Linked DNA regions of Styela clava. The protein of the gene in region 1 purifies or fractionates together with the protein of each later gene. This does not show direct contact. Links are inferred from orthologs where the notes say so. Each region holds a gene or a part of one and is shown in the gene's direction. Other genes may lie near its edges.

Region 1 (7,560 bases):
TCAGGACGTACCTGTTTCATTATTTCGAACTATCGTTCGCGGAGTTTTACTAGTGTATAGAAAGTAGATATCATAGAAATCACGAGGGTCGAGAGCGGTGGTTCTCAAACGGTGGGACGTAGACAATTTTTTGAAAGGCGTGGGGCTAAATAAAAATAATTGTGAGATTTGATCTTGCCCGCCTATTTGTTTTTTAAACTTTTCATTTATTTATTATTCACGTTCCATCCCCATATTTTCAACGTGTTTTTGCATAAAACATACTTTCGCCTTATTATCTGTTACTTGTAGATTATTGTTAGCTAGTTATTTTTAAAGTGGGGCGCGAGACTTGACAAATTCTAAATTGGGGGCGCGGCCTAAAAAGTTTGAGAACCACTGGTTTAGAGGAAAAAACGCAAACCGACAGCGTATAGTAGTATTTTGCTGGTGGAATATGTCATTGTCATTAATCTATTGTTGTTCCATGACAAGCTACATGTTGCGACAAGTAGGAGAATATCGCCAAATAAAACATCACTTAGGAAGATTGTCAATTTGCACTGTCGTTCTGAATAAGTAAAGGAAACTGGTTAAATTTGTATTTGCCGACGATACAACACAACCAGTCAAAGAATGTTTGCTTAGTTCTTTAATTTCTCATGGAAAGTATTTATTTTATAGACATGTTGGAGCGTCCCGTTTTCCTTACTGTGTGTTTAGCCAACAATGCGACCGGTTTCGTTCAACTTTTAAGGGTTGCACTGGGAAGCCGAACTCGTATCCAGAAAATACATACATTTTGTACATGTGAGAGGAATGTGAAGAGCGTATGATCATTTATTACTAAGGGAAAACTCCAATTTCTTTAGCGTCTGCTTTATGTTATGGAAAATGAAAGAGTTAGTATAACATGGCCTGTATATATAAGGATGGAGGAAAGACCTAGCATTTAGCCGAATTGTCTTCCTATGTTGTCGAATACACGCTAGCGCTTAGATTTACTGATTTATGCTCAGCAAAGTGAAACTCTTTGCGTCATATTATAAAACCAACACCATTTATAAAAGGAACGTTTAAATTATATTTTAGCCAAATGATAGACTTGTGCAAATTTTCGATTAATGTTTACTTTGAAATTATCGGGATGAGATTGACTTATGGCAGGCATGACTTTTCTGCAAAGTAGAGTACAGCCAGTTGTATCGCTATACCGCTTGCGACCTCAAGAATGGTCGACCTGTCGGAATATGTCGAAGACATTTGATGGATATTTTGGCAATAGCTATTTGAAATTGGAACTGCAACTTCGAGTCAAACATTTATCAAAGCTGAGGGTTCGCCCAGTAAACGGTGCTTTCATATACAACACGGTAAACTGCTTCTGAGATGCTAATCGCCTTTCATACTCATTCGTCGATGAAGATTTCTTGTTGACGAAGCTTGTTTCTTCAAACGTAATATGTATAACATAAGAAACCCAGTTTTAAAGGTTCATTGAATTCTTATCAGAGTATATCCATCAACTGTCGATCATGCTAGATTTTGAATGAACCGCGTCTAATTTGATGAATATTTCGAATTGCCCGAACAGTATGTAGTTGTAATCGTTTTCGTTTGAGAAATCCGAGCGGAACATTGGTCAACCACGCTTGTGGAGTGTATCTTATCCGCAGGAGAGTATGCCTCTCTTATTGGTACATCATGGACATGGATCGCATATCGTTATTTACGTATTTGTGTAAGAACATGTATCAAAGGTCATTTAAGGTCTTTCCTCTTTACTTCTCGTCTTGTGTAGTCGTTTTATCAAAATGAAATCCCAAGAGCCGCCCACTTTAAAGAATTTCATGTTCTTTCGCCAAGTCCCTCGTGGAAATGTCAATTTATAACGAATGGTATTAAATAGAATACGGGATTAGAACGCGACTTGTACTTGGTGTGTATGATATATGAAGACGATAAATTTGTTGAAATTGAAAGTTCAATTATTGAACCGTTTTAGATAGACTGATCGTGACCGCAGCGCATGTGAAAAATGATTACTTCATTTAGTCGTCGATGGCCAATTTTCTGATCTGAATGGAAATCAAGTCTGTGCGACAAAATTAGTAGCATTTATAGAATAGCACAGTGTCAACTTAATATGAGAAAGCTTTTGCAAGTATAGTCAGTAAGTGTACTTACCGGTAACTGCGAATCTTAGTATAATATTGTTTCGAATTAATTCTCGTGCTTTATCAGTACTGACTAAAATTTATGGACGCTTGTACGTGACTTAATTAGATGTAGATACGAAATGAAATCATATGAGTCAACCAAGTTTCAGTTTTAGGAACGAGAATAATATGTCAAGAAGAACTTTTACTGACACGTCTGTGGCGTTAAATTTGTTGGATTTATAGACAGTCACGTAGTATGGAGTAATACAACTGGACTTAGAATATTCTTGGGTTGCTAGCTTCGAAATCAGTAACATCAGGCAACGGAATATCGTATCGCACATAACATTTTCATTTCAGAAAAAAGAACAATAAAAACGCTGACATTTCCAAATTGCAATTTTCATTGTTTGATTTTCTGACCTTATGAAAAGTGACAGAAATGGAATAGTGATGTCATACAGCCATAACGAAGACAATAAAATTCAGCGACATATAACTGGACATTTTGTTTTCTATTACAAAGCCGAGCGCAATTATTCCTATATTCAACAGGTATTATTATTTCACCAGCAGGTGTCAATGCAATTAGCGTTCGTTCAAAATTTTGTCCGAAGTCCAAAATTTAACAATTTTCAAGCATGGTTGCAATACTTATTTCTGTGAAGTCTTTGTTACAACTTACAGCCCTACACATTCGAGTGTGCCATCATCGCCCATCATTATTACATTTCAATTGGTTTTTGTTCATGTATTATTGACTGTAAATAAATCTGCTGTGTTGCTAATTTTATTTCCACAATAGATATAATGCTGCATTTAGGAAATTCGAATTGCGCTTGTTATTTTGGTAATGAAAAGTTTATTTCCGAATCTTCGGACTTGCGTCCCAGCTCAGGCTCTTATTGTAAAATATATTTCTGCTGTTATCACGTGAAGGTCTACCACACTATAGCGCGAGGTCTACCTTAAGCTGGTACTATAGCGTGAGGGGACTGTTAGGCTTAGGGTGTAACTCTTTCTGCAAAATTTTGTATTGCGCTCAATCGATGTTAATGAGGTCGAGATGGATGGAATGCGAGAGACTGCACCTGAATAGTCCGCGTATACCTCACGCCATAGTCTCGCATATCTGTTTTATAAGGAAAGTCCTTGGTTCTTATTTATAACCTGAATGTTATAGTTATAGGTTGATAAAATTTCTCCTCGATCGCAGTCGGTTTCTTTCATATCGTAGAGACGTAGAACATACGGCCGAATGTATCAGAGATAGATTCATACGTTAGAAGTAGGAAGAATGAAACAACGAGCCGGTCAAGCACTTGTTTGTGTTTGCTCTCTCTAATTATTTAGAGACCAAACAACAAATAGATCCGGTCTGTTTATTTTCCCCGCGGAAATAAACTTGTGAATTGAAGTCGGTCGGGTTCTCAGTAAAAGCGGATTTCCCAGCAAGACGTGCTTTGTATTTTGCATTTTCTCTTTGTTTGCACAAGACTAATTGGCAGATTATCAGCGTCTGTATTCCGACGCCATAAACGAGACACCAACTGAGAGTGGTAAGGAAGGATATTGTGGAGTAGAAAGGAATTTTACTGAAACATTTTTGTTTATGGAATAGAAATAATAAGGACGAATAACATTTATTTAGCTTACTTAATTTAGATAAGATGCATTAGCAAATTTTGGGGTAAAAAAAATCATAGTTTGTTTGCAGCTCTTTCTAGAGTAGTATATTGCAGGCACAGGGTAATTGGCGGTGTTATATTTTATATAGATTGAGTTTGACATAGAATTGGCAGAATGGTGGTATTTTTATCCTTGTTTCTTCTGACCTGTCACAATTTAGTCAAAGTAATCAATTCAAATGTGATACAAACATAACCAAGTTGATCAATCGATTAGTTTATACTATTTTTACCCTTCCAATAGTTCAATATGTTCTGAAGAATTAAACAATAATAAAGTTTAAAGTATTTTTCTTGTTTGTGATAAATAATTCAAGTTTGGCTTCACTCTCTTGAATTTCAACTTGTTTCATATATGTATTCAAATATATTTTACTTTGTTCGTTTTATTGTAAAAACAGTTCAAAATGAACCTGTTCCAAAGGTTGTAAAATTTAAATTGTAGTAAAGTAGATATTAACAAAGAACATAACAGACATAAAGTCTGCAAGCTTATTTTTGGGAGAACAAAAGATTTTTAAAAAATGACCTCAGAACATCCTGTACAAAATGGAATTAATGGTCATCACACACCTGCGCCACACCCCCATGCCCAACAAAGTTATCATCCTGGACCACGTAGTCGAAGCAGTAGTACAGCCAGTGATAAATCACAACAATTAACAAGGAAATTATCTTTCTCACTACGCGCTTCTGATTTTGGTAGGTATATACAAATGAACTCAGGAAGGACATTGTTATTAAAAGCTGTTAGTTTTTTCACACAAATCATTTCAACAATTTTTGTTTATACCATTAGTTTTTGTATTCTGTTAGTCAATGTTTATCATTATTCATTACATGAGTATGCTAATGTGAGGCACTTTATTATTAAGGTTTAAATTAATTTTTGTCACTTCCATGTGCGGAATAAGAATTTTCATTTTAGCTATCCTACTCATGATGACACTTCATGATATAACCAAAATTTGAAACTAGCCTATTGTTTGTTCACTATAACACCAATGAAGACCATGGAGCATGTTAAATTCAATGTTAGATGATTTTTCTGTGCTTTTTTTATTTAAAAGACAATGTCAATATGAGTTATAGCTTGATTATGTGTATGTTTCTGGTGAATTTATGGATTTTAGGATTTACATATTATCCCGGATGAGAGGAAAGATAATCCACCACAGGATTTGAACCTGTCAACCTACACAGAGTGATATGACTTGCGTTGGCAAGCATATTTCTAACACTTAGCGCGATGCGCCACACTGCCGAGCCTTAATATTTTAGAACTGTTGTTATTAATATTGTTTCTAATTCACGATTATTTAATATAACGGGTCGAGGTTATGACTGTGAGAATGTATTGTTAGTACATGAAAACAAAGAAACAATTTCAATAATTTCAAATTTTCACAGGCATCACCAAAGATGAACGTCTCACGGCTGAAGAAATGGACAGCCTGCGTAACCAGGCTACAGCATATGAATATTTGTGCCATTTGGAAGAAGCAAAAAGGTAATAAGACCTTGTATATTTGAAGTATCAAATACAGCTTCCAAAATATGTTTTCAAATTCCATATATTTGTACTCGTATATACTAATCCTAATCTATGCATATTTTGTATTAAAAGTATGGCTAATTGGCAATTTGCTCTGTATGATTTAGTCTTACTGATTAATAGTTGCTGTCATTTCAATATTCCAATTTTACCATTTTTCTTTTGTTTTCCAGATGGATAGAAGCTTGTATAAATGAGGAATTACCGCCTAGTGTCCAGTTGGAAGAAGGTCTCCAAAATGGTGTATTCCTTGCAAAACTTGCACATTTTTTCAATCCTAAAGTGGTTCCGATCCGAAAAGTGTACGACAAAGATCAGAAAAAATATGAGCAGAAAGGTCTCCATTTCAAACACACTGACAACATTAATCATTTCTTTAAAGCAATGGAAGAGACTGGATTACCAACGGTACGCTTTATTATGTCATTGAGTTGGTTAGTTAGGATAGGATTAATATATTTATCCCAGTGAATAGAAAAGCCGATATGAGGGCTTAGTCGTATGGCAAACCACAGCGTCTTGTCCTGTAACCAGTCCATGTCGGTTTTAAAATTAGTTAGTTTGAACATGATCAATGAATGCATAGTGTATATGTAAATCTGATATTCAGATTAAATGTAGGTGTGCAAAAAAAAGGTAGTGTTTTGATTATTGTATTTATTGATAATATTTAATGCTTGGGAAATTCAGATTGTGAGCTGAGTCTAATTCTTATTAATCTTAATTCAACAAATGTTATTTCAAAGTATTCAAACCATGCCACTATATAACTAACTTTTGTGCAATACACTGTCAGGTATCATCAAAGTTGTATAATGATATTCCACTTTAGTAAGAACTGTTTCAAACCTCCACAATAAAAGATTTGTCCCTTCCATACTCTGGAGATCTTTACTTTTAAACGCCCTTGTTTGAACCAACAGCATGTAACAGCGTAAATTCCAGGTTTTCAATACAATAAAACGATTGTGTAACCACACCATTGTGTGGTAAATTGGCCTTTTACCCAAAATGCGTTGGGCCTTTTTAATGTCATCTAGGTTGCTAATATTGTTATATCAATTCGCTTGTGGCGAAAATTGCTAGGCCCACTGACGCTAATAATTCTAATATTAGATTTGTCTGACGATGGCGACATTTTTATTATACGCTTTGTCATATTATATTTTTATTCTTCACTGTGTTGCCATCAGATAACTAACATTATAAGCCTACTTCCTTTTTTGGTCAAATAATATAAGTTTATAGTATGAATGATGTAATCGGCGCTTTATTGGCTCCATGCAAGGGCGTTTTTCTTTAGCATCGATCATGCTTCCAGTCATTTCCTGTTTCAGCCATTGAACCACAAATCTTTGTCATTCTGTTCTGTTTGCCAATGGTTTAGCCTGTGGCCTTTCTACACTTTGATTTATATTGATTTCATATTAATAAATGATAAATAAAAAATTGATCATGATATGTGTCAAGCTAAAACGTTTCTTAATAAGACATTTGAAGTTCATGAATATCTTTGTAGATTGATATTCAGAATTTGGCCCATCAGTTCAAATACTCATTTATAATAAAGAAGATTGAATTCTGATAGAATTCTGCTGTTAGACACATGTATAAAAACTGATTGCAAAATTGTATTTTTGTAGATTTGCTTTTTTGAATACATTTGATTGATGCTCAATGATGCAATATATTCCGAATAGCCTAATTGAAATCTACGTTCCGATAGTTTTGATTGGTTTTCTTTTTTGTCAGTGTCAAAAGTTACACAAAGTTTATTTTTGTTGTGACCATTAGATGTTGAATGCTTATGAATGTCAAGTGCATGGATTATTCAATTTTTTTAAAAATAAGTAATTTGCTAGTTAAAATATAGCTAATTGATAACTTGGGTTTTCTTTTTCAGATTTTCTACCCTGAAACAACGGATATCTACGACCGTAAGAACATGCCGAAAACTATTTACTGTGTTCATGCTCTGAGTTTATTTCTTTTCCGCCTTGGAATCGCTCCCCAGATTCAGGACTTGTATGGAAAAGTGGAATTCACAGGTTTGTGATCTTTTTATTTCACAACCTTTTTCAGACTTAGATGGCTATCTAAAACTGAAAAATATCATTGATTAAAGTTTGTAACATATACAGTAGTCTGGGATATGTAGTATCATACCAGAGATGGC
Region 2 (8,646 bases), on another chromosome or scaffold:
CACTGACTTCAGCACTTAGGGACTACGCGCACTACGCGCGTATGTCGAAAGATAAGAGGTTAGGATAGTGCTGAATCATTTCCCATTGCTATATTTAACCGTTGAAAGGAAACCTTCTTTTGTTGGAAACGGTTTTGTATGTACCAGGCCGCCTTAACATACCTATTGTTTTTTATTTTACTTATTAAATAACAGATTTTGTTCGACTTTATATTATTTATCACGTTTTGTAAGATTTTCCCCAAGGGCGCCGCCGCTCGATAACTAGTTTTGGTTTTCGGCGTCTCCTTTCACCCTGTTATGCGATTTTTATTATATTTTCTTTAATTTGAGCATGTATAGTTTGTATTTTCAGCATGATGAAAAAATAAATTACTAATTACTGACTGATTACTCGCCAGTTGAAACGGGTACTATGACGTCACGATTCTGGTACCATGACGTTTTACTACAACCTCAAACTTTTCAACGTTTTTTTTAATTCAAGTCATTACCAAATATACTTACTTATAGCCACAAGTGTATAGTTGGTATTTTCAGCGTGGTGAAGAAATAAATTACTGATTAACAGAACGTTCCACACAGCAACTAAAATCATCAAAAATGTCGTTGGACAAACCTCGGATGTATCTACCGATGTAGTACGTAAATTAGTGGATTGTGTCGGATATTGGCGGGTTTACAGACTTATGGTTCTAGGAAAATTAGCAGCAAGAAATTTCGTCGTAGGAAATCTCGCCGCAGAACATTTGGCCGCAAGAAAATTCGGCGCATGGGGAAATTCGCGGCATGCAAAATCGTCGCAAATACATTTTTCTGTAAAACAAGTATTTGTGATAAAAACAGTTATGTTTTTGACCTTTTCATTTAAAAAGATTAGTTATTTAAGAGCATACCCTAAACCTATAAACCCAACGGTTTTTATTATTACAAATACTTGCTTTACAGCAAAATGCTCTTGCAGCGATTTCTCATGCGGCGAAATTTTCCGCCGCAGCATTTCCTACGGAGAATTGTACGAACACGCAGACTCACCCCGCGGAATTTTATGTTTGGATAAGATTTTCATATTTATTCTGGGAAAAGGGAGGTCGAGTAGACAGCCTAATCACACGGCTAACCACGATCTTTAGTCCGGTTACCAGTTCATGTCGGGTATGGCAGCAATTCCCAAAATCTTTGCTCATTCGGCCCCGAATTATCAGGGGAAAAAACCCACGCCGTACTTAAATGAAAAATTGCTGACTTTTAAAAACTCAATTTTGTAATCGTTAAAGACTTAAAGTGTACTTTATGCTTTTTAAAGTTTGTAAATATACAGGCCTAAGTAATAAACGCTCGGGATCAACTCGGATCTTTCGTACAAAGCTAATCCCCGCAAAAGCTCAAAATAAAAAATTAGGTATTATTCAGATAGGGTCAGGAATGCAGATTGCGCCGGAAATTCAAATTTTTAACACAATACTAACGCTAACTGGATAATTACCAATTTTTGTTTAAAAATGTGGCGGGGTGTTATTCTCAAATCTCACATTTTTGCACTAGAGACGGGGCCTTTGTACAAAAGATCTGTCAACTCTTCTTCATCATCACAGCGCGATTTTCCTTTGAAATACTAAAACAATCACTCATGTTCGCCAACCTCGGTTCAGAAGATACCTAAACTGCAGCCTACAAAATTGTAGCGAGAAGTGTCTACCTCTATTCTTACGTAAAGCAATAGACGGGTAACATAAATTTATAAGTATAACAGCCGTTGTTACGACATAAATACCTGCGCAGAGAAATTGGTACTCCCGAAGTATGTGTACCAATTTTTCTTACTCTGGGAGTACCGAGAAATTTTTGTTTCATGCATTATAAGCGGTACAACTTCGCGCGGGTCGCATTTGGGAACCTGTTTTTGAATTCCGATATCTTACTTCTTCAGCTCTTATTTCGTCGCCATCGTGATCCACGCTTGGCTATATATGTGATTCGATAGATAAACAAGTTAGTAAATTATTTTAATAGCAAAGAAATATTATTTTCGGTATGTTCTCATATCAGAATTCGAAAAAAATGGTAATTTGCTCATATTTGTTTCCAGAAATCTGGCAACGCTATTTATATTTCATGTCGTTTTTTTGCTGCCCACTCGCGGTACGGAAAAATTGTAAATGTTAAGTTTTTTGCCGCAGTTCAATATATATGAATATTCAACAACAAGATAAGCTGTTTGCTTTGATAACTGTTTAAAAAATATTTTAGCATTTTATGCAGTACCCAAAACAATGGGATACTAATTTAATCGATCGATCGCGAAACCTTTACTCAACGCTCAGAGTTTTAATAGTCTGTCGAAGTCTTTGTATAATTTGCCCAAAAATTCGTTCGTGATGAATGTATATTTATAAAATAGACAAACAAAATCGTGACATTAATATCACAGAAGTAACTATGCCGATCAGTTGAATTGTGAATTCATTTGTCTTCACAAAAACTGTTTATTCAAGTGTAGACGAATGTCGATGCCAACCGAAATGATTATCCCAATGAGTAATTACCATCTTGTCCAGATTCAATATCCATTTTCGTTGTTTATATGATAACAAAACAAACACCTATTTCGCGATATAAGTATGTAATTCAATATTAATCTCCACTAAATGATTCAAGAGTCTTGCTGCACACTAACAAGAATACCGTATGTTTTTGTAACGTTACAGCAATATATTTGTGTTATGTGCAGCAAGATCACTTCGGATAGTTATATTTACTTTTGATACAGCATCATTGCATTTTATGCATACGGATCCACCGTCGCAAAAGCATTGAAAAGCGATAAGTAGTTAGTCCCGCAGAAAGCAAATCATTAGCGCAAATCTCCGCTAATGCACAAAATCTTTTCGTGATTAGCTATCACAAATATGACGTCACAGCTTTTTTCGTCACGTTGCTGTTTGTATTCTATTTCGCCATTCTGCGTCAGCTGGCGACCGCGGTTGTTTTCTCGTTGCGCTTCTTTGTCATTGTTTGTCTTTGTTTTCCTCTGTGCCACGCGTTTGTGTTGCGGTTATAAGGAGTTGAGTCTTTAGGGGGGTATGGTTCAGTTGAGATTTATGAAAAATATCACTGTTTTGAAGGCGGGATCTGGTTAAAGGAGAACATTATGTTTGTTTTCTCTCCACACCCTGACATCGCCAGACTCACAGACTGTACGGTATCCTACAGCCAGACAGTACGGTCATGACGGTACGGTACCGTATTCTTGTATACAGGTATAAGTTTATCTCGACTTCATAATCATCATAACAAGCAATAAAATGAATGATAAAAACAAATTAATAAAACTGATAATGAAATCAGTGAGACAGTGGTATAACTGCAGAACTGTATAAGTATGAGCTCGGCAGTGGCGCGGCGGTGTGGCTCAACGGGCTAAGCGTTAGGAATACGCTCGCCACCGCACCTCTAATTACTCTGCGTGGGTTCGCAGGTTCTAATCCCATGCAGGGATGGTTATGTGCGAGAGGATTGCTGGACTCCTCGCCGTCGTTGGGTGGTTCACGTAACCGCTGGTCGGTTACGGCTTCCTCCACCACCCAGTCTGGATTTCATGGCCTTTTTGAACGAGAAATCGGGCGTGCAATCAGAAATTCCCGCGTGCAAATAAGAATTCCTGGCGTGCAATTATAGCTCACGACGTGCAAAACAACTGCACTCGCGTGCAACTGACTTTGACATCAGATACCTCTCAATACATCCGCGTAAAATTACCGGTATCGGATAAAAAATACGTTGAAACAGAGAAAAAATGGACGTTTGACCTTTGACCCCAAACATTATTTCTACAGTTTGTCGCTAATTTTGAGAGTGTTTGTGCGACTTTGGATACCGGTACTGTTCAGTACATCCGCGTAAAATTATTGGATAAAAAATACGTTGAACCAGAGCAAAATGGACATACTTTGTCATTAATTTTGGTAGTGTTTTTACGTAGAATTAATGGATAAAAAATACGTCAAATTAGAGCAAAATGGACGTTTGACCTTTGACCCCAAACATTATTTTCATACTTTGTCACTAATTTTGGGAGTGTTTGAGCAACTTTAGATACCGGTACTGTTCAGTACATTCGTGTAAAATTATTGTATGAAAAATACGCTGAATCAGAGCCGTACTTGGCCATTGGTGCGGAGGCGATCTTTTCGTCCATAACTATTCTCACGGGATTCCTATCTCCTATCATTCAACACGATATGGACCTTTCCCCGAGCATCGACTTCCTTGTTTACTTCGTGACATTGGCCAATCAGCAAGATGCAAAAAAGGACGTAACAATGAGAGGAATTTTTCGCGGGTCAAAGGTTGGGGAAAGGTCCATGGTCTTTTTGCTTCGCAATATTTCGATCAGACCAAATCTTGCAAGCTGGTATTTGTCGACAATTGTGGAGTTATAATATTTTGGCATCTTTATATTACTGGATTATTGATTTTAAAACCATTTAAACCGATTTACATTGGTGAGCAATTGCAAATTTTCGGCGTGCAAAATTGATTTCGCTCGCGTGCATTTTTGCGGAGCGCTAGCGCCCTCGGGCGTGCACCTGCCATGGAATCCAGTCTGGTCCACCACCAAGTCCATGCTTCCGAAAACAAATAATACAGTAAAACTAATCCCATACCCGACTTGGAATGGTAACCGGACGAGAGGCCGTGGTTCGCCATATGAATAAGCCGTCTTATCGGCTTTCCTCTCCCCCGGGATAAATATGTAAATCCTATCCAGTGTGGCGCATCGTGCTAAGCGTTAGGAATACGCTCGCCACTGCATCTCTGATTTCCCTTCATGGGTTTGCAGGTTCAAATCCCATTCGGAGATGATCATGTGCGAGAAGATTGCTGGACTCCTCGCTGCTGTAGGGTGGTTTGGAATTGGATTGATATTTTTTTTGATTATTGAGTGTCTTTTCTTAGAAGCAAGAAAACATTAATTTCGATCTTATTACAAATACTTAAACTGCAATACAAACAGTAATAACTATTATTCTTCAACTTTAATACACAGTTTATTTTACTATCATTGTCTGCAAACTGTTAAATCAATACAGAGCAACACCGAGGTTCACATTCAGTGTCCTCATTACCATCAGTGAAAATGTCTTTGTGACTCGACGCAAGAGATTGTGCACACACAGTGCATAAGGACATTGGACCATATCAAACTTCATATACAAGGCAGGATATCACATTATTGGAAACTGGTGCTGTAACAAGCCTATATAAGTCATAGGCTTATCTAATAAGTTATTGTAAACTATCGGATTGATTCTTGCATTTATTGGATTATCTCAATCAAAAACGCAGAAGTAAACTTGGTTATTGGGAATTACATAGATAGAATTTTTAAATAAATTCTGATTTGAAATCGTCAACCCTTCGACCATGGCAGATGTTGATCCAGATACTTTGCTGGAATGGCTTCAGATGGGATTAGGAGAGGAACGTGATATGCAACTAATTGCATTAGAACAACTATGCATGCTTCTGCTTATGTCTGATAATGTGGACAGATGCTTTGAAATGTAAGTTGGATTATTTTTACTTTCAAACATGGTTGTCCAGAGTGAAATTTGAACATATTGCTCGTATCACGTAACTGCTGGTGGTTTATGGTTTATCTTAGTTGCCCTTAGGGCCGGTTTTTAATCATAGTTTGAAACGATATTTGCCAAAGTATTTTAATAAAAAAATGCAGGAGTTTGAAAATCAAAAATATATGATTTTCTTATTTTCTCTGTTTCTTGGAAGCCCGTTATATGCCGGTAGTTTTTTCAATTTCCCATGCATTGTACATAAGTTTTAACATAAGGTGTCATATTGTATGTCACAAGATAGCAATAACGTCACCAATGTGATTACCCAACTCAGCATGTCATACTAATGTTACGTCGGTTGAGTCACAGGATGCCATATAAGTCTATTTCTGATTCTGTATATAATGGATGCGCACGACAAATATTTTTGTAGTTGCTGTGTGTCATTCACTAAACACATAGACATAAAAAAAATCTTGTCCTTGTTGTCAAAGATATATTCTTAGGCTATTCTGAGAACTAGAATGAATATTTTTTGATTTTAATGCCGAATTTCCTAATAAAAAAATAGCTCTTTTATTTAAAAAGTGATGTGTTTATGCATTGGGTTTTTTGTTCATTAGTTTCATCCATTACTAATTTTTATTGACATGCTGCACACTGCGATATGATTTCTCAGTTCTGTCGCCTTCAGCTGATTTAAAAAAAATAGAGATGGCCGAAGAATTCAATCCAAATAAAATTCCGAGTCGCAATTCTTACCACTTCATGGCAGATCCTGCCACGAACGAACCGATGGCAGCCCTTGCCATGGGATATGGCGCTATTGCTATATGGCGGTTTATTCACAAAGTCATGTACCAGATATTAGTTTATCATGCGGAATTATATCTACTTAAACCTGAAACCTAACCCCAAATCCATCAAAACTGTATAAGAAAAATGTTCTAACTTACCCAATTATGTCATCGTCAAGAAAGCCCTGCCATTATAGTCGACATGCCGTGCTTATGGCAGCAAAATTTAACCCGCCATTGGTTCTCAACTTGCTGCCATGGTAACGGCATCTCGTCATTGGTTTGTGGCAGCTAAAAAGTAAGTATCGGTAAATAATGGCCATGGTTTGAAAATCCCGCCATGGTTTTGAAGAAGCTTCAGACGCCACAGAATACTTAAAACTGCACTTGGAAATTTCTCATTAATTCAAACCACAATGTAGGGGTTTAATTTTTTTGGGTCACTCTGTACTTAATAATATCGATGTGGGACAAATGGCACATATTATACAATATCAATATTATTTAATGTCATTACTTATCGATCTTAATAAGATTGGTACGTATGTTGATGGGTATTTGTCTGTTTGTCTGTCTGTCTGTTAGATGCATGCGATATCTCACGAAAGCGAGGTTTAATCTGCCCCAAATTTTGCATGTGCATTCACCATAGCTCGTACCAAAAGCCTATTGATTTTGGATGAATTATGTCATATAACTTGCGAGTTATTAATTAATTGGTGAGTACTATAGAGTCTGAGTGAATGAATGGGGGATCCCCAACTTTTATCGATAAGTCTTCGGTCTCCGACCGATATTCTCGTTTTTTCTATTGATGCTTAATCTTATATAAGTGTTGAAATTTAGAAATTGTGGGTCAATATTTGTATTTGTCACTAAATTAGGATATATCAATTAAAGATCAAAAATAAATTTAAAATAATCATAAATTTTGTAAGTTTTATTTGGGGATTAATAAAAATCGTTACTTAGGATGATTTATAGGTTTATTTTAAACCAATTAAACCTTTTGCGCTTCCCAGAGGAGTAGTCACAGCTTACTGGTTTTCTAATGATGATCATTTTAATGTTGCGGTTCATAATAACCCAAATATGCTTCGTTTTAAGTTGACCAATATAAGTACAGGTGTTCCTTGTGTCTGACTGGCTTTCCTACAGTTTAATTAACGATATCAAGTTTTATCATCCTTAAAACAATAGTTGTCTTCGGTTGAAGCTATTGTATTGATTGTAAATTGATATCAATATATGTTTGGTATGTACTTTGGTATGTATAGGCTTTGGTTGTATTTATCTAAAAGAAATCTTCCAATAATGCCTACATAACAATATATTTGATATACACATACAAATCGATCAATGAATTTGGATAGACATTGCCGGTTGAAAATTAAAAATTTATAACCAAAGCATGTATTATGGTATGCTGAATAGAAGGTAGCTTTTATGTATATATGCTGCCTTGTCTAGAGGCATGAAAACACTTAATTGGTTTCTGCGAGACTAACTACTTATCCTGCTTCTATGCTCTTGCGCCGCCGGATTCATATGCTTTTCTTGTTATAGTTGAACTATGTATGTCTGGAGAAGTCTGACCTTGGTCAGACGAAACGTTACAGAAATATATTTGTGTTAGTGTGCAGCAAGACTCCTGAATCACTCAGGTTAAACATTTTTGTTATCTATTGCGTTAAAATGTCCATACCCTCAAAACAATTTTTCGTTTTTGTAATACACAAATTCACTGTTTATTTATTCTTCTAGGTGTCCACCACGAAGCTTTCTTCCCGCTCTTTGTAAAATATTCCTGGACGAGACAGCGCCGGACAATGTACTGGAAGTGACAGCTCGTGCTGTGACGTATTATCTTGATGTTTCTGCCGAATGTACTCGCAGAATTGTTGCAGTTGATGGAGCTGTCAAAGCAATCTGTAACAGACTTGTTCTTGTTAACCCACAGGATAGGACAAGCAAAGACCTCTCTGAACAATGTGTTAAGGTAGGGGTTAATACTTTAATTATGCTTGATCATTATCTATAGCAGGGATCCTCTAACTTATGTAGTGAGAGTCATTGCTCCAAGAGAACCGCTCTGTTGCCTTCTTGGAGGGCTAAGGCCCAATTTGAGAAACCCTAATTTATGGCTTTCGGTCAACACTGATTTTGAAGTTATTGAATTTCTGCCCTTATTAATAATTAAACATACTTAATAGGCATACATTGTACAAACTGTACAGATAGGGGAAATTTCTGACTAATGCAAGTTTGGG
Region 3 (7,513 bases), on another chromosome or scaffold:
AACCTAAATGTTTGAGAGATTTTATGAAAAATGTGTTCAGTTACTATTCAAACAAGGAGAAAAGCATATCTAACGAAACCAAATCACTCGAAAAAAAAATTTCTTTGACGTAAGAGTGCTCAGTTGTTTCTGCATCGATGTCTTCGTAAGTTGTTTTAATGTTAACTGTGTAACATTTTCCCAAATTGATTGGAAATGTGTGTGTTTGTGTATTCTCCAAGAATGGCATAGAAAACATCATATAGCCAGCTTCTCGAACATCAACATTATATTGAAGAATCTCAAAGTCTCCTGACTCATCGCAGTTGTCTGGGTTATCCCATATTACAGTGGCCTGCTCGCCAACTATTTCGTCAGTGATCATCAACATTTCTGTATTATGTGCTTTGACTGAAGAAAATGAATCATTGAAAAATATATTTGTCGTAACATTAATTCAACAATTTACTTTACAATGATACAATTCAAGTTAGAAGCATAAGTAATATTTGAACTGAATGTTTATTAAGTGCTATTATCATTCCGTATGAATATATATATTTGAGTATGCCTGCTATTGATATATACTCGGTATCGATATCTGATATTGGTAAATAATGAGTGCGAACGTTATTAGTACATAAAAATGGCTCTTTCTATTCGTACAACGTAAAAACTTTATATTTGCATGTATGTAATTTTGTAACTACTGCAGGTCTACATAAATATATATCTTTTTTTAAACAAAAATATGGCGCGAAATAATGCTGAAAATAATTATCTGTGACGTAGAAAATAATATTAATTGCTTTGAAGAATTGTACTTACTCATATTTTGACTTTTGATTTTTATGGTTTGACTGTTGTCTGAAGAAAGAAAAAAAATATTACATTCTATACTTGAATAGAATATATTAAAATGTCTAACATCACGTAGTGAAACAACACGAGCGTAGGAACCAGACACAATTAACTGCCGTTTCCAATGGAATGCCTTCTCAGAAACTAGAAATTAAAAAACAATTTGGATTTTATACGCTGACCTAATTACCGACTTATTCATACACTGGGAATATATAAACGTAAAAATGATGAAGAATTAAGGAAATAGGAATTAACATACGTTCGTAAATTAACTTAAATTATAAATGTATTATATGATTAAACAAAATTGTTACACTCAAAAACCTTCTACAATTTATTCATTTTTAAATAATTTTAGCAATTCAATATTTTTTGAATGAAGAACTGTTGTAATAATTTATAAAGTTTAAGCATTAAGTACCTTTCAACTCACGCTATTGTGTTGGGTTAACACAATTTTTAATTCATGATAGGTCTCAAGTATAATAAAAGGTATACTCACTAGCAAATTGTGCATGCTCGAAATTGAATACGGATTGTTGTCCTATATCGGCAAAGTTTGCAAATTTTCCGGGTGTATTTTTTCCTGCATGTAGGGAAAAATTTGAAAACAAAATCATTACCAAACTCTTCAGATATATCTTACAATCGGAGGAGAAAACAGCTGATCGCGCCCACAAAGCAAGCGGTGTTAGTGGTTCGCCCTAACATCCAGTCATCCACACACGTATATTTCACAGAAATAGTGGTATATATATTAATGTTTCATTTGCAAGACACAAGACAATTACGTTCTTTCATTTTTCATTTCTCTATTGCAATCTTACTACCTTTGCTATATTACCTTCAATTCACTAACTTTTTTTCTTCAATGTGAACGAATTTTTAGTTTTTTCGATGAATAAATACTGATAATCTTAAATACCGATTTGCATCAGATAGATTTTGACTTACGTGAATGGGTTGTTACGGTATTTGTTTTGCATCCGATGGTACTCTGCGGGTTGTTGTTTTCCTTATGAATGGCATGTACTAGAAATTGATATTTTGAGTCGCTTTTTAATCTCTTCATGATTACAGGAGAAAAGGGACAAGTTTGTTTTCTAGCTTTTCCTATATTTGGTATAGCCACGACTTCATAGTAATCCGGCTTCTCCTGTGGTTCATCCCAATTCACAATTGCACTACGCCGCGGGTTCATAATGTTTATCTCTGCCGTTGGATTGATCGCAACCGTCGGGCCACCTAAAAATAAAAACATACCCCAAATTAGAAATGAGCCCACCCACCCAGGGGGCAGGAGTGAGCAACCTTTTTCGGCTCGCTTGCCAAAATTTAACAACAAAATTCACCCGCGTGCCGACCAAAATTGAAAACAACGCTTTGCTACTTTCAAAGCAAAAATACACAATATTAAACCTTATAAACAAGTACAGACGGAAAACATCAGTCCGGCAAATAGATTTGATCACTTTTCTTATTCCATATGAGTGAGACTTCTGCTGCTGTATTACCGCTGATAGGGTTTATATTACATTGGGTTTATATTTTGTAACTTTCAGAGAAATACACGAACTACTGGTTTCATATTTCAGGCTATTCCTGTTACGAGAACTGATAAAGTTCATAACAGAGAACAGAGATTCACGGGCATAATATGTCAATGAAAACATGGAGAGTAATGCAGTTGCAAAGTTTTTAAGACACAGGAATGGCATCCCAATCACACAATAGTTCGTTTTCTGCACTTTTCTCTTGTATTCCCTTCCCTAATCGCTTATAGTTCTTTCGAAATCAATTTATAACAGTAAGTTAGCAAGTAACTCTAACCAACATGCGCTGTACAACTTCATAAATCAAGCAAGGGTGGCACAGACAAACTATATTACGTAAGAATGTAGAAAAATGAATCAGGTCCTGATTCGAACCTAGGTAGGTTGCCGCCAATGTAAGTATATTATATCCTCCAATATCGTATTAACGCACTAGGTTTGCCGACTTTGGACGGTGAGCGGGACCCTGATCAAAGTGTTTTTGGATTGTAGTAGCCCCGTGAGACATGTTTCATGATTTTTCTTGCCCTTTTCACTAAAAGCGTCTCCCTGATATCTTGGATAAACATTCCCGCTGAAATCCTATATCTTTGGTGTAGGTACCAACTTGGCGATAAAGTTACGCGATAAAAGTGAAAACCAAAGCAAGAATGCGGCATGCTATTTCGTGTCTGCGAAAGGAGAGTTTTTTTAATGGATATGCAATGAATTACTGCCTGAACTTACCTATCACGAAGACATTCCAGTTCGATTCTTGGAATTCTTCGCCAGGTCCATAAGTTTGTAGTTTAACTTCACATACCTGACCATATCGTAATCGCTCATTCATATTTACTTCATAACGGCAGTCACCAGCAGAAAACTTTTCGTGAATGACAAGAGGATTCCGATCTTTTGCGTTTCTTACAAGCAAAGAATATCCGGTGACTCCGTATGTTATTTTCCAGGTGAATGAAATCCTATCACCATCGCAAGCCAATTCCACCATTGTTCCTAATTAAAAAATAGACGAAAATAAAAGCAGCAAAGGCTAAAAGAAGTCACAAAAAAAACGTAACATATACTAGTCGAATTTAATTATGTTGGCTAATTACCTTCCTGATTTTGAAAATCCATCAGCACATTGTATACGAAAGCATTGCTAGCTAATATATTTATGGAAGCTTCACTCAAAAAATATGATCTGCAATCGATTGAGCAATTCTGAGTCACATCGTATATAGAAAATATATTCTGGCCATGTACATTTATACGTCTACAATAAAAGTGTTGGTGTGTACGGGTGTAAACAGACAAATCATTAATAGCTTCCGTATTTTGTTTTATTCTAATCTCTCGCTAGATATGAGATTTGGTCAGTTTTACAACGTCACAAACGGTTTTCAATGTATAAAAAATACTTTTCAAAGCTAGATCTAAAAATCCTTTGCTTTGATATATAACAAATCTGAACTAAAGTTCATGTCAATTAGGCGACTAACTGAACAAAGCTCGCCAATCCACCACAGGAACGCATTTCATAACTGTACAAGAGACTGGAACAAATGTGTCGTTTTGTCGATGTCTTTACGGTTCGTTCCATTCAGTTGGCGGTGTAATGTGTCAGAGCGTTATTTTATCTTTGCCCTATCATGCGTAATATAATCTAGTTTTGGATTATGTGGCCTTTGTTACCCTTGAAACAATGCTGAATAAAAATCATTGACCGGTACTTTCAGGTCTTCGGTTTTAAATGATTTTGCCACTTCAATTATATGCATAGCTTTGCTCACGGCATTTTGAAAATTTCTCCTCGACGATCTTGGAACTATTTATTTGTAAGTATGTTGTTTTTTGTGTAAGTATCGCGATGTATTTTCAATCAGAGAGAGAAGGCTCTGGCACTGGTCGTCATATTTTGTTACCATGTGCCAGCTTAAAGGTCAACTTTATGAGCTCCTGGGGTTTACAAACAGGGATGGTCAACTTTGTGATCCACAAAACCTTATAGCATATTACTCTTAAATCATCGTAATGAACGGAGCGAAGACATATATCACCTTGGACTTCCCCACGGTAAAATGATTGTACTCGACCAAATCAGCACATCATCGCCAATCTCGTATATATGCCAAGATCAAAACATTCAAGAATAACACATCAGAGAATACAACACCAACAATACAAAAGTGATGACAACGCATCAAAAGTCAGACATTAATTTTACAGCTGATCTCAAGTATCGATTAGCGAGAAAAACATCAATTTTCTCACCTTAGGAGCTTTCGCGCTTTTGTCTCACTAGTATAAAACTCACAGGTTGGGGAGAAGTGTCATCCAGTTAGCAAAGAAAACATTCTAGAGGAAAGCAACAAATACTATTCCTAATACTAAACTATGGTAAGTACTATACAAGTCCATGGGTTACTCGTATCTGACGATGGCTAAGGCGGTCTGATGGACTTACTTTCGTTGACGCAATTTGACAGAGTTGGGCTATTGGTCATATGTTCGTTCATACACGAAGCATGATTCTAAATGATAATTTTTGATTGAGAAACTGTCAGAAACATAGGCTCGGGCGTTTAGAAACAAGAAAAATTGTACAGAATTATTCGTGCAGAAAAATGAATTGAGTGTTCATAATAAGCATTGCATAACCTCGGAACTTAGACGCATGTGTGTACCTGCAACATAGAATACTATTAACTTTAACATTTTATGATTTTAGGCTGCTGTTGAATTCTCCGAAAAAAAGATTGAAAGTAGGTATCATCTAATACTGAACCAAGTTTTGATTTTTTAAGTATATTCATTTCTAAGTGTGAGAATTTAATGAAGTCATGAGCTCTTTAATAAAATATGAGGAAGCGTATAATGTATTTGGCTAGATATTTCAATAACTCTATTTACTTATTATACGCATTTGATTGAAAACACAACATAAAATCAGAGAATGATTTTTATTTACAGACATCAAAGAAGCTTTCGAGCTTTTTGATACAACTGGCGATGGAAAAATATCATATCATCAGGTCGGTGATGTTACCAGAGCTATGGGGGAAGATCCAACTAACGAAGACGTTACGAAATTTATGGGAAATCCGTCTGCCGATGGTATATTTACCAAAGAACATTATTTACTTCTTATTATTATGTTTATATTTGTTGCTTTTAATAATACAGGTTTTATTTGCGTGGTGAAGTAAGCATACACGTCCGAAATACCGTCAAATGATTTATTTTTCATTATAATTTTATTTTTTTTATTTCAGACCTGAAAACAAAACGAATAACAGTTGAGGAATTTCTTCCAATTTTTCAAAAAATTATCCAAGAGGGACAAAAAGGAACATTCGAAGATTTTGTGGAGGGATTGAGAGTATTCGATAAAGACGGCAAGGGAACAGTAATGGGCGCTGAAATTCGACATGTTTTGACAACTTTGGGTAAAGCCGTACACAACTGAGAAATCAGCACCTTTATAAAATAATTCTAGCTAATTAAGTAAACAATTTGTATGTGTAAGGCCTTTATACTACTAGCACGGCATGGTCAACAACAGACATGATTGGCTAACTACAGTCTCTTCTCATATCTTACTCTCTATTTACATATATTTGTATAATATCAGTTTATTTCGTCGTTATTTAAGGTTTTGCGAGATAATAGCTTAAATTTACATTTTTTTAAATTTACTAGGAGAGAAACTGACATCGGCTCAGGTCAGTTTGATGATGAAAGGACAGGAAGACAATACTGGAGAAATGAATTACGAAGGTAAATATCTTTGACAACTTTCAAAATATTTTGTTCTTCAGTAATCTAATTAAATTAGGCGATCTTTACAACTTTCCAAAAAAAAATTATTTTAATCTTTATATTTCAGCTTTCAGCAAATTTTTACTTTCGGAAGGAGAACCTGAAAAGAAATGAAGCTAAAAAATCCAGGCTATTGATATGTTCACAACTCGACTTTCCTTCAATATCCTTACATGCAAATTGATTGCTTCATAATTTTCTGTAATAAATAGAATATATATATATTATGTGTATATGTGTTCTAATCTAAACAATATGCCAGAAAATGAGTTCACTACGTTGGTCAGCAACCATGTTGCTTCTTATCAGAACTGTCCCATTAGCAGAACCTGATTGGAGAATACTTTTTAACAAAGGGCAGGGGGTATAAATTGACTGCCGTCATTTCGATTGGGAAAATGAGTACACACTAACAACAGATTTTTACTCATAGTGCAATAGCATCCTCTTGTCATTTCAATCCTCAGCGGCTCGAGTGGCAACGGAACTCCCGACCTACTTTCTGACTTGACGTAATGTCATGTGCTCAATGTATAAACCAATGGTCTGTAACCTTCTTACACCACTGACTGATACCATTAAAGACTCACAGGCCTGATCTAAATATTGCAATGAATGCAGATAAACATGCTGTTTTGGTAAAAAAAAATTTTTTTTTGTAGCGAAACTAGCGATTGCCTAAGTATATACGATTAGCGCAAAAGTGACAGAAGCCTACAGATAAATTGAGAATGTGCCATGGGAAGTCTCGGCTCTGTCGTTGGAAGCACAATATATATTGGACAAACAGCCCGGGCAGATATTATATAATCACTCGAATTGTAGGTCAAGTTTAGCCGGTTTATTACAAATACATGCTTTTCATACAAAGCTCAGCTGGTCTGATTATATTTATTGTAACTTACCTGAACCCCAGCCATTGGCCCATGTGTGAGTTACTGGCATCGCATGGCATCTCTGGTATTATATCATTATTATCATTTTTGTTAACTTTAATGCGAATAAGTTAAATTTAACGTCTAACTTTTGCTCCTGACAGCATGATCGTTGACACTGATGGTGTCGGCGCAAGTGATAGCACTATTAACATAAAAATGTGACTATATTTTTGGCGTAATACTGTGTTTCTTGAATCTAAGGCTTACCCTGAAAATAAGATCTAGCATGAATTTTCATCCTCGGTCTAATATAAGAACGTATAGTGGTTGATACCTGGTAGTGGGTAGTTATGACGTTATATGGTCAGGTTGAAGGGAAATAAGTTGAATGAAAAGTCCGCCGAAACTTTCAAACCCAGTGACTTGCGAGACATTCTA

The links. The genes of interacting proteins can lie anywhere in the genome.
Region 2: the proteins of ras GTPase-activating-like protein IQGAP1 (region 1) and E3 ubiquitin-protein ligase HECTD1-like purify together in Homo sapiens (affinity purification with mass spectrometry; 3 studies listed by BioGRID, with this or other methods). This does not show direct contact. The link is inferred for Styela clava from reciprocal best matches to the Homo sapiens genes IQGAP1 and HECTD1.
Region 3: the proteins of ras GTPase-activating-like protein IQGAP1 (region 1) and myosin light chain 3, skeletal muscle isoform-like purify together in Homo sapiens (affinity purification with mass spectrometry; 3 studies listed by BioGRID and IntAct, with this or other methods). This does not show direct contact. The link is inferred for Styela clava from reciprocal best matches to the Homo sapiens genes IQGAP1 and MYL6B.

What each region holds. Positions count from the first base shown.
Region 1 is NC_135257.1:7,266,711-7,274,270, reverse strand, and holds the start of ras GTPase-activating-like protein IQGAP1, read left to right. Parts: upstream 1-4,224; 5' UTR 4,225-4,353; coding exon 4,354-4,531; intron 4,532-5,239; coding exon 5,240-5,339; intron 5,340-5,557; coding exon 5,558-5,792; intron 5,793-7,287; coding exon 7,288-7,432; intron 7,433-7,560. UniProt on the Homo sapiens protein: Plays a crucial role in regulating the dynamics and assembly of the actin cytoskeleton.
Region 2 is NC_135255.1:18,150,675-18,159,320, reverse strand, and holds the start of E3 ubiquitin-protein ligase HECTD1-like, read left to right. Parts: upstream 1-5,054; 5' UTR 5,055-5,427; coding exon 5,428-5,567; intron 5,568-8,140; coding exon 8,141-8,375; intron 8,376-8,646. UniProt on the Homo sapiens protein: E3 ubiquitin-protein ligase which accepts ubiquitin from an E2 ubiquitin-conjugating enzyme in the form of a thioester and then directly transfers the ubiquitin to targeted substrates.
Region 3 is NC_135259.1:2,976,837-2,984,349, forward strand, and holds myosin light chain 3, skeletal muscle isoform-like, read left to right. Parts: upstream 1-4,664; 5' UTR 4,665-4,772; coding exon 4,773-4,775; intron 4,776-5,106; coding exon 5,107-5,140; intron 5,141-5,348; coding exon 5,349-5,492; intron 5,493-5,650; coding exon 5,651-5,824; intron 5,825-6,077; coding exon 6,078-6,155; intron 6,156-6,264; coding exon 6,265-6,311; 3' UTR 6,312-6,421; downstream 6,422-7,513. Other genes in the region: uncharacterized protein LOC120337727, read right to left, coding at 88-390, 808-846, 1,346-1,429, 1,798-2,088, 3,123-3,389, 3,491-3,512. UniProt on the Homo sapiens protein: Regulatory light chain of myosin. Does not bind calcium.